Ovis aries: one gene and its partner. The protein of the gene in region 2 purifies or fractionates together with the protein of the main gene of each other region. This does not show direct contact. Links are inferred from orthologs where the notes say so. Each region holds a gene or a part of one and is shown on either strand. Other genes may lie near its edges. The genes, in order: SNX9 and FASLG.

Region 1 (3,810 bases), on a different chromosome or scaffold from region 2:
TAAGCAGATAACTGTGAGATGATTATTAGCCTTTACATTATTTAAAGCCTTTTATGTAGTTAAAAATATCAAGAGATATCTCCTAAAGCCCATTCATTTCTAAAGAGGTAGGAAGTAGTAACATTTTCAGATCCGTCTTCTCAATTTTCTTGTTGACGCTGGCTCTGGATAATCATTTAGCAATAACTGAACCAGGCCAAAGTACTGGAGCTTCGGCTTCAGTATCAGCCCTTTGAAAAAATATTCAGGGTTGATTTCCTTTAGGATTGACTGGTTTGATCTCCTTGCTGTCCAAGCTCCAATACTTTGGCTACTTGATGTGAAGAACTGATTCATTAGAAAAGGCCTTGATACTGGGAAAGATTGAAGGCAGGAGGAGAAGGGGACGACAGAGGATGAGATGGTTGGATGACAGTACCAACTCAATGGACACGAGTTTGAGTAAGCTCCAGGAGTTGGTGATGGACAGGGAAGCCTGGCGTGCTGCAGTCCATGGGATCACAAAGAGTCATTCAGACATGACTGAGTGACTGAACTGAACTGAGTCAGGTAGTCACCTAAATTGGTCAAATTCATTAAAATTAATATTAAAGTTTCAGTACATTTTTCTCAAATTATCCCGCTTTTCCAAGTTTTCTAGAAGCAGTACAGTAACAGTACCAACTACTGGCTCTGCAGCTGCCTTCCCGTGCGCTGCACCTGCAAGAGGGGGGGCTCACGCCGGACGCGCAAGTCACGGGCCACGGCCACAGAGTCGTGTCCTGTTCCAGCCAGAGTTCTGACACTGACCCCAGAGGACCCTTTTCCTTCCTCGCCCTCGCTTGCAAGGATATTCCCAGTTTATCGGGTCTGTGTTCAACATGCCAGACTTTTACTAGCAACTCTCAATGAACACCCTGCCTTCTCACTAATAATCAGTGCTATAAAAATAGTCTGCAGCAGGCTTAAGAGGCAAGGTCTTTGTTAGAACCCAGCAAAAGAACGCCACACACACACCTAACAGCTATTTTGTCCGTGCTCTCAGGGAATGGCAAGGGCCCGGCACGTCACCAGCTCTCGCACGCGTGCTTTGCTCTGTCGAGCCAGAGTACGGCTTACCTGGTTGCTGCTCTTGGTGGCCGATGCATCGGCGTGGGCTGCACTTGCTGACAGGGAGTCGAGGAAGGCTTGGTCAGCCACTGAATTTCCACACGCAAACTGATCTTTTCCATCACTCGGCAAAATCTGAACATAAGGAAGGACCACAGTTACTTACTTTCATAGACTATAGAGTTATTTCTGAGGTAGAACCCCTGATGGCAAGTAAGAACTATCAAAAGGTTTCTATTCTTAAAAGGTATGAGCTCAAGAACAACTGCCCTAACGATTCCTTTCTGCAAGTGTGCGGAATTCTTTAGAAAAACACAACTAATACCAGGATCAGCTTATCACATTTTTCTCATTCTTGTCAGTTTTTAGGATCCTAAATGCACAGTGTACAGAGGTCGAACATAACATGAGATGCGTGGGTTCGGGATCTGTGAATCCTCTGATAGGGTCTGGAAAGGTGGGGTGCCTGCCCGTGCACATGTCGGGCTGGCCAAAGAGTTCATTCAGGTTTTTCCAGAAAAGATGTTCTAGAAAAACCCAAACAAACTTTCTGGCCAACCCAACATTTCAGCAATATCATCAGTATTCTCCAGAGCGCTCAAAATTCCCCACTGAACTCAGTCAGGAAAACAGCCAGCCTTCCCATTTTGCAGGCAGCGCCCAGCACACACCCTCCCAGGGCACGTGCTCTCTCTACTGGACGGAAACCCAAGGCAACTCTGCTCCTGAGCTACACTCCAGTTTTATTCACAGGCTACCAGGCAGCCTCAGTTTCTTGCTGTCACCCGGGATGAGAGAAGCAGGCTCACCATGGACCCAGGGCTCCGTTCTGCGTGACCTACGGACAGCCAGCAGGGGGCGCCGCGAGGCTGACTCAGAGAGCCTTGGTCAGCTGGGTGGGGTGTGTCCCCACAGCATCCTCAGCATTTATCACAACAGAGCTTACACCCCGCAACAGCTCACTCCAGACCCTGGGCCTTGGAGAATGGGAGAAGGAACTGACGGAGAGGCCCTAGATTAGCACAGGGAGGAGACAGTGACCTTAGAGTCTGCTGCCTAAACTCTGTGAGTCCACTCTACAGTACACAGTATGGTAGGCAGCAGCTACGACAGTGTCAGCAACGGAAAACAGAGACTTTTATTCTGAACAACTAAAAGTTGCTATCCTTGGAAGGAACTTCAGCTAAGCATTTGGAGTCACTCTTTGGCGTGTAAGTCTGTAGGTAATATTTCTTCTTGGTTCTACTTCAGTGAATTTTCTACATTTTATATAATCAGCAAGTATTATTTTTACAATGGAATTTTTTCATTAAACATAAAGTTATCTTTCATTCTTGTTATTTAAGTTGATAATTCGTAAAAACGCATATGACAAAGACCAGGTTTAATTAATAAACAAGAATAAATTCTTACCTCAACATAGTCTGTTGGAACAAGCCCTCTTTCTCCTTTGCTGTTTCTTCCTTCCAGCCATCCTCCACCAACATCCTCAAAAAGGTTAAAAAGAAAAAAAAGAGTATAGTTGGAATTTCCTGCAGAAACTTGGCTCTGGGAATTGTTATCCATAAAAAAGGTTATTAACATTAACCCATTAACCTTTTCATTCCCATGGGGCTAACGCTGTTAAAAATGTCAAATTCTTAAGCTTTCTCTTTATGCCAGAAAAGGATATAATTTAAAAATGAGAAAAATCAAACTTCAACAATAATTGATCAGAGAGAGAGAAACAGAATGCCAAGATTTTGTAATTTCCTTCTGTTGACTGGTCTGTGGTAGACTACACAAATGGTTTGCAGCTCCGACTGTCAAGGGACAGAATGCACCCTCATTTCCAGAACCTGCGCTATCCTTTGTGACCTCTTCAGCCAACAGACTGAGGTGGAGATAACACAGGGTGAATACAGAGCTGGCCTCGAGAGGCTCTGCACACTTCAGCTCACTGGTTTTTTTCCCCCAAAAGAGCTGGATATTTGGGTTGCCAGATGATGACAGAGACAAGGCTCCGTCTCCCTGTTGGCCGACCCAAAGCCAGCCGACCCCCAGCAGGAGAAATGCCAGACAGAGGAGGTCATGATGGCCTGCTCTGCCCTCGTGCCCTGCTGGGCGATGCAGGCCCATGGGTGACCCCAGGTCAGGAGAACCACCTGGCTGGCTTGTGGATCCCCAAGCAACAACAACTGACTATTTGTTTAAGCCACTAAGCTTTGGGACTGCCTGTTATTTAGGAAAACTAACTGACACAATGGGGCCCACTGGAGAAGGGAGTGGCAAGCCACTTCAGTTTTCTTGCCTTGAGAACCCCATGAACAGTATGAAAAGGCAAAATGATAGGATACTGAAAGAGGAACTCCCCAGGTGAGTAGGTGCCCAATATGCTACTGGAGATCAGTGGAGAAATAACTCCAGAAAGAATGAAGGGATGGAGCCAAAGAAAAAACAACACCCAGTTGTGGATGTGACTGGTGATAGAAGCAAGGTCCGATGCTGTAAAGAGCAATATTGCATAGGAACCTGGAATGGCAGGTCCATGCATCAAGGCAAATTGGAAGTGGTCAAACAGGAGATGGCAAGAGTGAACGTTCACATTCTAGGAATCAGCGAACTAAAATGGACTGGAATGGGTGAATTTAACTCAGATGACCATTATATCTACTACTGAGGGCAGGAATCCCTCAGAAGAAATGGAGTAGCCATCATGGTCAACAAAAGAGTCCGAAATGC
Region 2 (4,266 bases):
AATTAGAAACCAGAGGACCCTACCAGTATCTCCTACAAGAGCCTACCTGCTAGGGCAATAGGGTGACTTGGTTTCTCAGGCACAGCCTGAGAATTTGGAGCAGGCTTCCCCAACTAGATGACCAGTGCTGTCTTCTCTTTGCAGAGGCATCTTGCCTGTCGTCCTTATTTCTCATTCCATGCCCATCAGAGATAGATAGGAGTAGGAGTTTCCCTGTGTCACAGGGCCGGAGCACACACTGGTAAGAGCTGGAGGTGGCAAGGCATCAGGAGCCTGAGCTCCTTCTCAGCCCCATTCCACAGCAGAGGTCTTGGGGACATTACTAATCCATCTGGTGTTTTGCTTCTCTTCTGAAAGGTGAGAAGACTGGACCAGATGTTCTCTAACCTCCTTTCCATCTTAGTTTAACGAGTATTCTAAATCCACAGTTTCCAAAACTATGTCCTGAAACTTTAGGAGGCCGATGTTCAACATTGTCATCTTCCTGTCCTGAATTTCACACAGAGGATTTCCCTTTATTATCAAAAGCAGCGCATGATTGTCTCTGAGTGAAGTGGGACTACCCTCTGTAAAATGCCTAACGTCTTCCTCCAAGCTTTCCAGCGGCTGCAAAAGAACCACCCTAATGTGGATGACTGGTTGCCCACTCTTTAAAAGCTTAAATATAACCTATTAAAATTTTAAATCAGGTCTGACTCTTAAGTAATTTTTTTTTTTTTTTTTTGCTATTGCTAAGTCACTTCAGTCATGTCCGACTACGTGTGACCCTATAGATGGCAGCCAACCAGGCTCCCCCATCCCTGGGATTCTCCAGGCAAGAACACTGGAGTGGGTTGCCATTTCCTTCTCCAATGCATGAAAGCGAAAGGTGAAAGTGAAGTCACTCAGTCATGTCCGCTTAGCGACCCCATGGACTGCAGCCTACCAGGCTCCTCCATCCATGGGATTTTCCAGGCAAGAGTACAGAGATTAAATAGGAGAGCAAGGATCTTTCCCAGCAACAGCTGTGTCTGTCTGCACCTTCCCTTCTCTCCTGAGGAGCTATAGCCACCGCCCTGTACATGGGAATCAGGAGGCCTGAGGAAGGGGGCAGGCCTGGAGCCAGCTGCTTGGGGTGTGGGGGGTGGGCAAAGGTCCAGGGTTGTACATCTGTGTTTCTCTTTCCAAATTCAAGCAGAAATTAGTTTTGAATTTTTCTGTGATACTTAACTAATTTTGAACAGTTAAACTCACTTCATATTTTAGGGCAGTTTCAAGAACCAAAATGACAAGAGATTTCAGAATTGGTTAGGATTTCTCTTCTATAGTCTATATATGCCTAAGAATAAGGTGGAATTCAAGGTACTCCTCCAACATGGTTGGTGCTGAGGACTGTTTTTAGAAACTCAACGTGCAAGCATAAAAAAACTCACCTATTTGCTTCTCCACAGATGATGCTGTATGCCTCTGGCTGGTGGACTGGCAAAAGAGAAAAGATACATAATAACTAGATAGCACATTCAAAAGCAGAGACATTACTTTGCCGACTAAGGTCCGTCTAGTCAAGGCTATGGTTTTTGCAGTAGTCATGTACGGATGTGAGAGTTGGACTGTGAAGAAGGCTGAGCGCCGAAGAACTGATGCTTTTGAACTGTGATGTTGGAGAAGACTCTTGAGAGTCCCTTGGACTGCAAGGAGATCCAACCAGTCCACTTTGAAGGAGATCAGCCCTGGGATTTCTTTGGAAGGAATGATGCTACAGCTGAAATTCCAGTACTTTGGCCACCTCATGAGAAGAGTTGACTCACTGGAAAAGACTTTGATGCTGGGAGGGATTGGGGGCAGGAGGAGAAGGGGACGACAGAGGATGAGATGGCTGGATGGCATCACTGACTCAATGGATGTGAGCCTGAGTGAACTCCAGGAGTTGGTGATGGACAGGGAGGCCTCACGTGCTGCAATTCATGGGGTCGCAAAGAGTCGGACACGACTGAGCGACTGAACTGATGAAGTTCTTTAAGCAAAGGAAGAAGAACTGTCAAATAAACTAAGCACTGGAAAGGGAATCTAAGCACCCAGAACCTCTCCTAACTCAGACTCTGGCCAAGCAATTGTGCCTGTCCATGCCTCAGTTTTGTGATTTGAAATAGTTCTAATAATTTTAAGCACTTTCAAGGAAATTTAGTTTGTGCATTTGAACAAATTCACTTCTCAGATGCCAAGTCCCTTTTCTTTCTTGAATCGAGTATGAGGTAGGTAGCAGAGTTCTTCCTCTCTCAGATGATCAGCCAACTGATCATCTGCCAGTCCTGATTTGATCCTGATCCCTCCCAAGATAGAAAATATTCCTTCCACCCATTTGAGCCCCCATTTCTCTGCAGGCAGAACAGGATGGCTAGCGTGATTCATTTCTAAGACAGGAAGAAAGGATTGAGAAGTATGCTGCAAGCCAAGTGTGGTCCATGTGGATTTCTGTCGCCCTCCTCCCCCACTGCAGCAGGGCAGTTTCACCCCATCCCCCACCTCCGCACATTCCAGGGTGCGGCAATCCCCCAGGCAGCTTACCTCTCTGAGTTCGGCCAACTCCTTCTGCAGATGGAAGAGCTGAAATATCCCCAGCCCCAGTCCAACCAGGGCCACCAGAACCATGAAAAACACCACAAGGAGACACAGGCCTGTGTTGTGGCCCCTCCTCTTCTTCAGAGGTGGTGGCGGTAGTGGAGGCAGGGGTGGCGATGGCGGTAGTGTTGGGGGTGGCGGTGGTGGTGGCCTCCTTTGCCCCGGCCTTCCTGGCACTGAGGACGGACAGGGGAAGACTGATCCTGGAGAGGCCCAGGGGGAGCTGGCACTGCTGTCCACCCAGAAGATTGAGGGGTATGGGTAATTCAAGGGCTGCTGCATGGTATCCAGTGCCTCAGGCCAGCCCCCAGCCAAGGGTTTTCCTCTTCCTCAGTCGTGCGGAGGCCCAGGTGTCAAGGGCCGGACTCCTATTTCTGACTGCTCATGAGAAGGAAGCCGGTTCTCTCTTTATAGAGTTTCCAGAACCAAGGGAAACACCTCTCTTTCGTTCTCTCTTTCTGCTTCTCAAAGAGACACCCACTCACTCTGCATCTGAACCTGAGAAGCTTCAAGAAGCTCAGAGCAAACCCCCGGAAGTTTCCGCCCACAACTTTCTGATGAAAGCTTTCAAAACCCCAGTCGCTGCTGCCCTGCTCCCTGAAAGGCTGGTAGGGTGGGCTCGTTGTCCTCAGGCCCTGAGACGGGGGTAGCGTCAGCGCAGCTCTGTAGGCTCCGGCCGCTGTTCAGCTACAAGGAGAGTGGCCTGTGGGGCGAAAGCACCGAGTCACGGCCAGAGGAGTCACTTCTGGGTCTTACCTTTGGCAGGAGGGAATCACCCCCTGCTGCCATCCCTCCCCCACACCCAAGTACTGTTTACCCTGACACAGCAAAGCACCGTAGTTTACAGGTTACAAACTTGCCTGCCTACTCTATAATAGATCAGAGATTGCAAACCAGTGGCCATATGCCTCACAGAGCCCTCAGACCTGCTTTGCTTGTGCCTTACAATGTTGTTTATTTCTATTTACCGTCCTCCTCAAAAAACGGGATAGTCCATAATGCAGACATTCATCTCTGTTTTGCTGAGTCTAAAACTTAGGCCAGAAAAGCACAAGATAAACCAACCACAGATGCCTGGGGCAAAAGATTACCGTTGAGACTCACAGTGGACTGCTGTTATGGACTGAATAGTGTTCTTCCAAAGTGTAAGCACCGAATCCCAATCCCCAGTGTAATTGTATTTGGAGATAATGCCTTTAAGGTGTAATTAAGGTTAAATGAGGTAGTCTGAGTGGGACCCTAATCCAACATGATTAATGTCCTTATAAGAAGAGGTAGAGGGCTCCCTTGGTGGTCCAATGGTTGAGAATCTGCCTTGCAATGCAGGGGACACATATTCCATTCTTGCTCTAGGAAGATCCCACATGGCATGGGGCAACTAAGCCCTACAGCTGCAACCACTGAACCCACGTTCCCTAGAGCCCATGCTCTACAAAGAGAGAAGTCACGGCAATGAGAAGCCCATGCTTGTCTACAACTAGACAAAGCCCACACACTGACAAGGAGCCAGCATAGCCAAAAATAAAGAAATAAATACTTCCTGAAAAAAAGAAGAAGCGGTAGAGACAGCAGGGAGGCATATGTACACAGAAAAGGCCAAGTGAGCACACAGCAAGAAGGTGGTTATCTGTAAACCATGAAAAGAGGACTCAGGAGAAACCAGCCCTA

The links.
Region 1: the proteins of FASLG (region 2) and SNX9 purify together in Homo sapiens (co-immunoprecipitation; 3 studies listed by BioGRID and IntAct, with this or other methods). This does not show direct contact. The link is inferred for Ovis aries from reciprocal best matches to the Homo sapiens genes FASLG and SNX9.

What each region holds. Positions count from the first base shown.
Region 1 is NC_056061.1:82,210,470-82,214,279, reverse strand, and holds part of SNX9 (sorting nexin-9), read right to left. Parts: intron 2,578-3,810; coding exon 2,503-2,577; intron 1,225-2,502; coding exon 1,099-1,224; intron 1-1,098. UniProt on the Homo sapiens protein: Involved in endocytosis and intracellular vesicle trafficking, both during interphase and at the end of mitosis. Required for efficient progress through mitosis and cytokinesis. Required for normal formation of the cleavage furrow at the end of mitosis.
Region 2 is NC_056065.1:39,431,227-39,435,492, reverse strand, and holds the start of FASLG (tumor necrosis factor ligand superfamily member 6), read right to left. Parts: upstream 3,091-4,266; 5' UTR 2,881-3,090; coding exon 2,545-2,880; intron 1,459-2,544; coding exon 1,413-1,458; intron 1-1,412. UniProt on the Homo sapiens protein: Cytokine that binds to TNFRSF6/FAS, a receptor that transduces the apoptotic signal into cells. Involved in cytotoxic T-cell-mediated apoptosis, natural killer cell-mediated apoptosis and in T-cell development.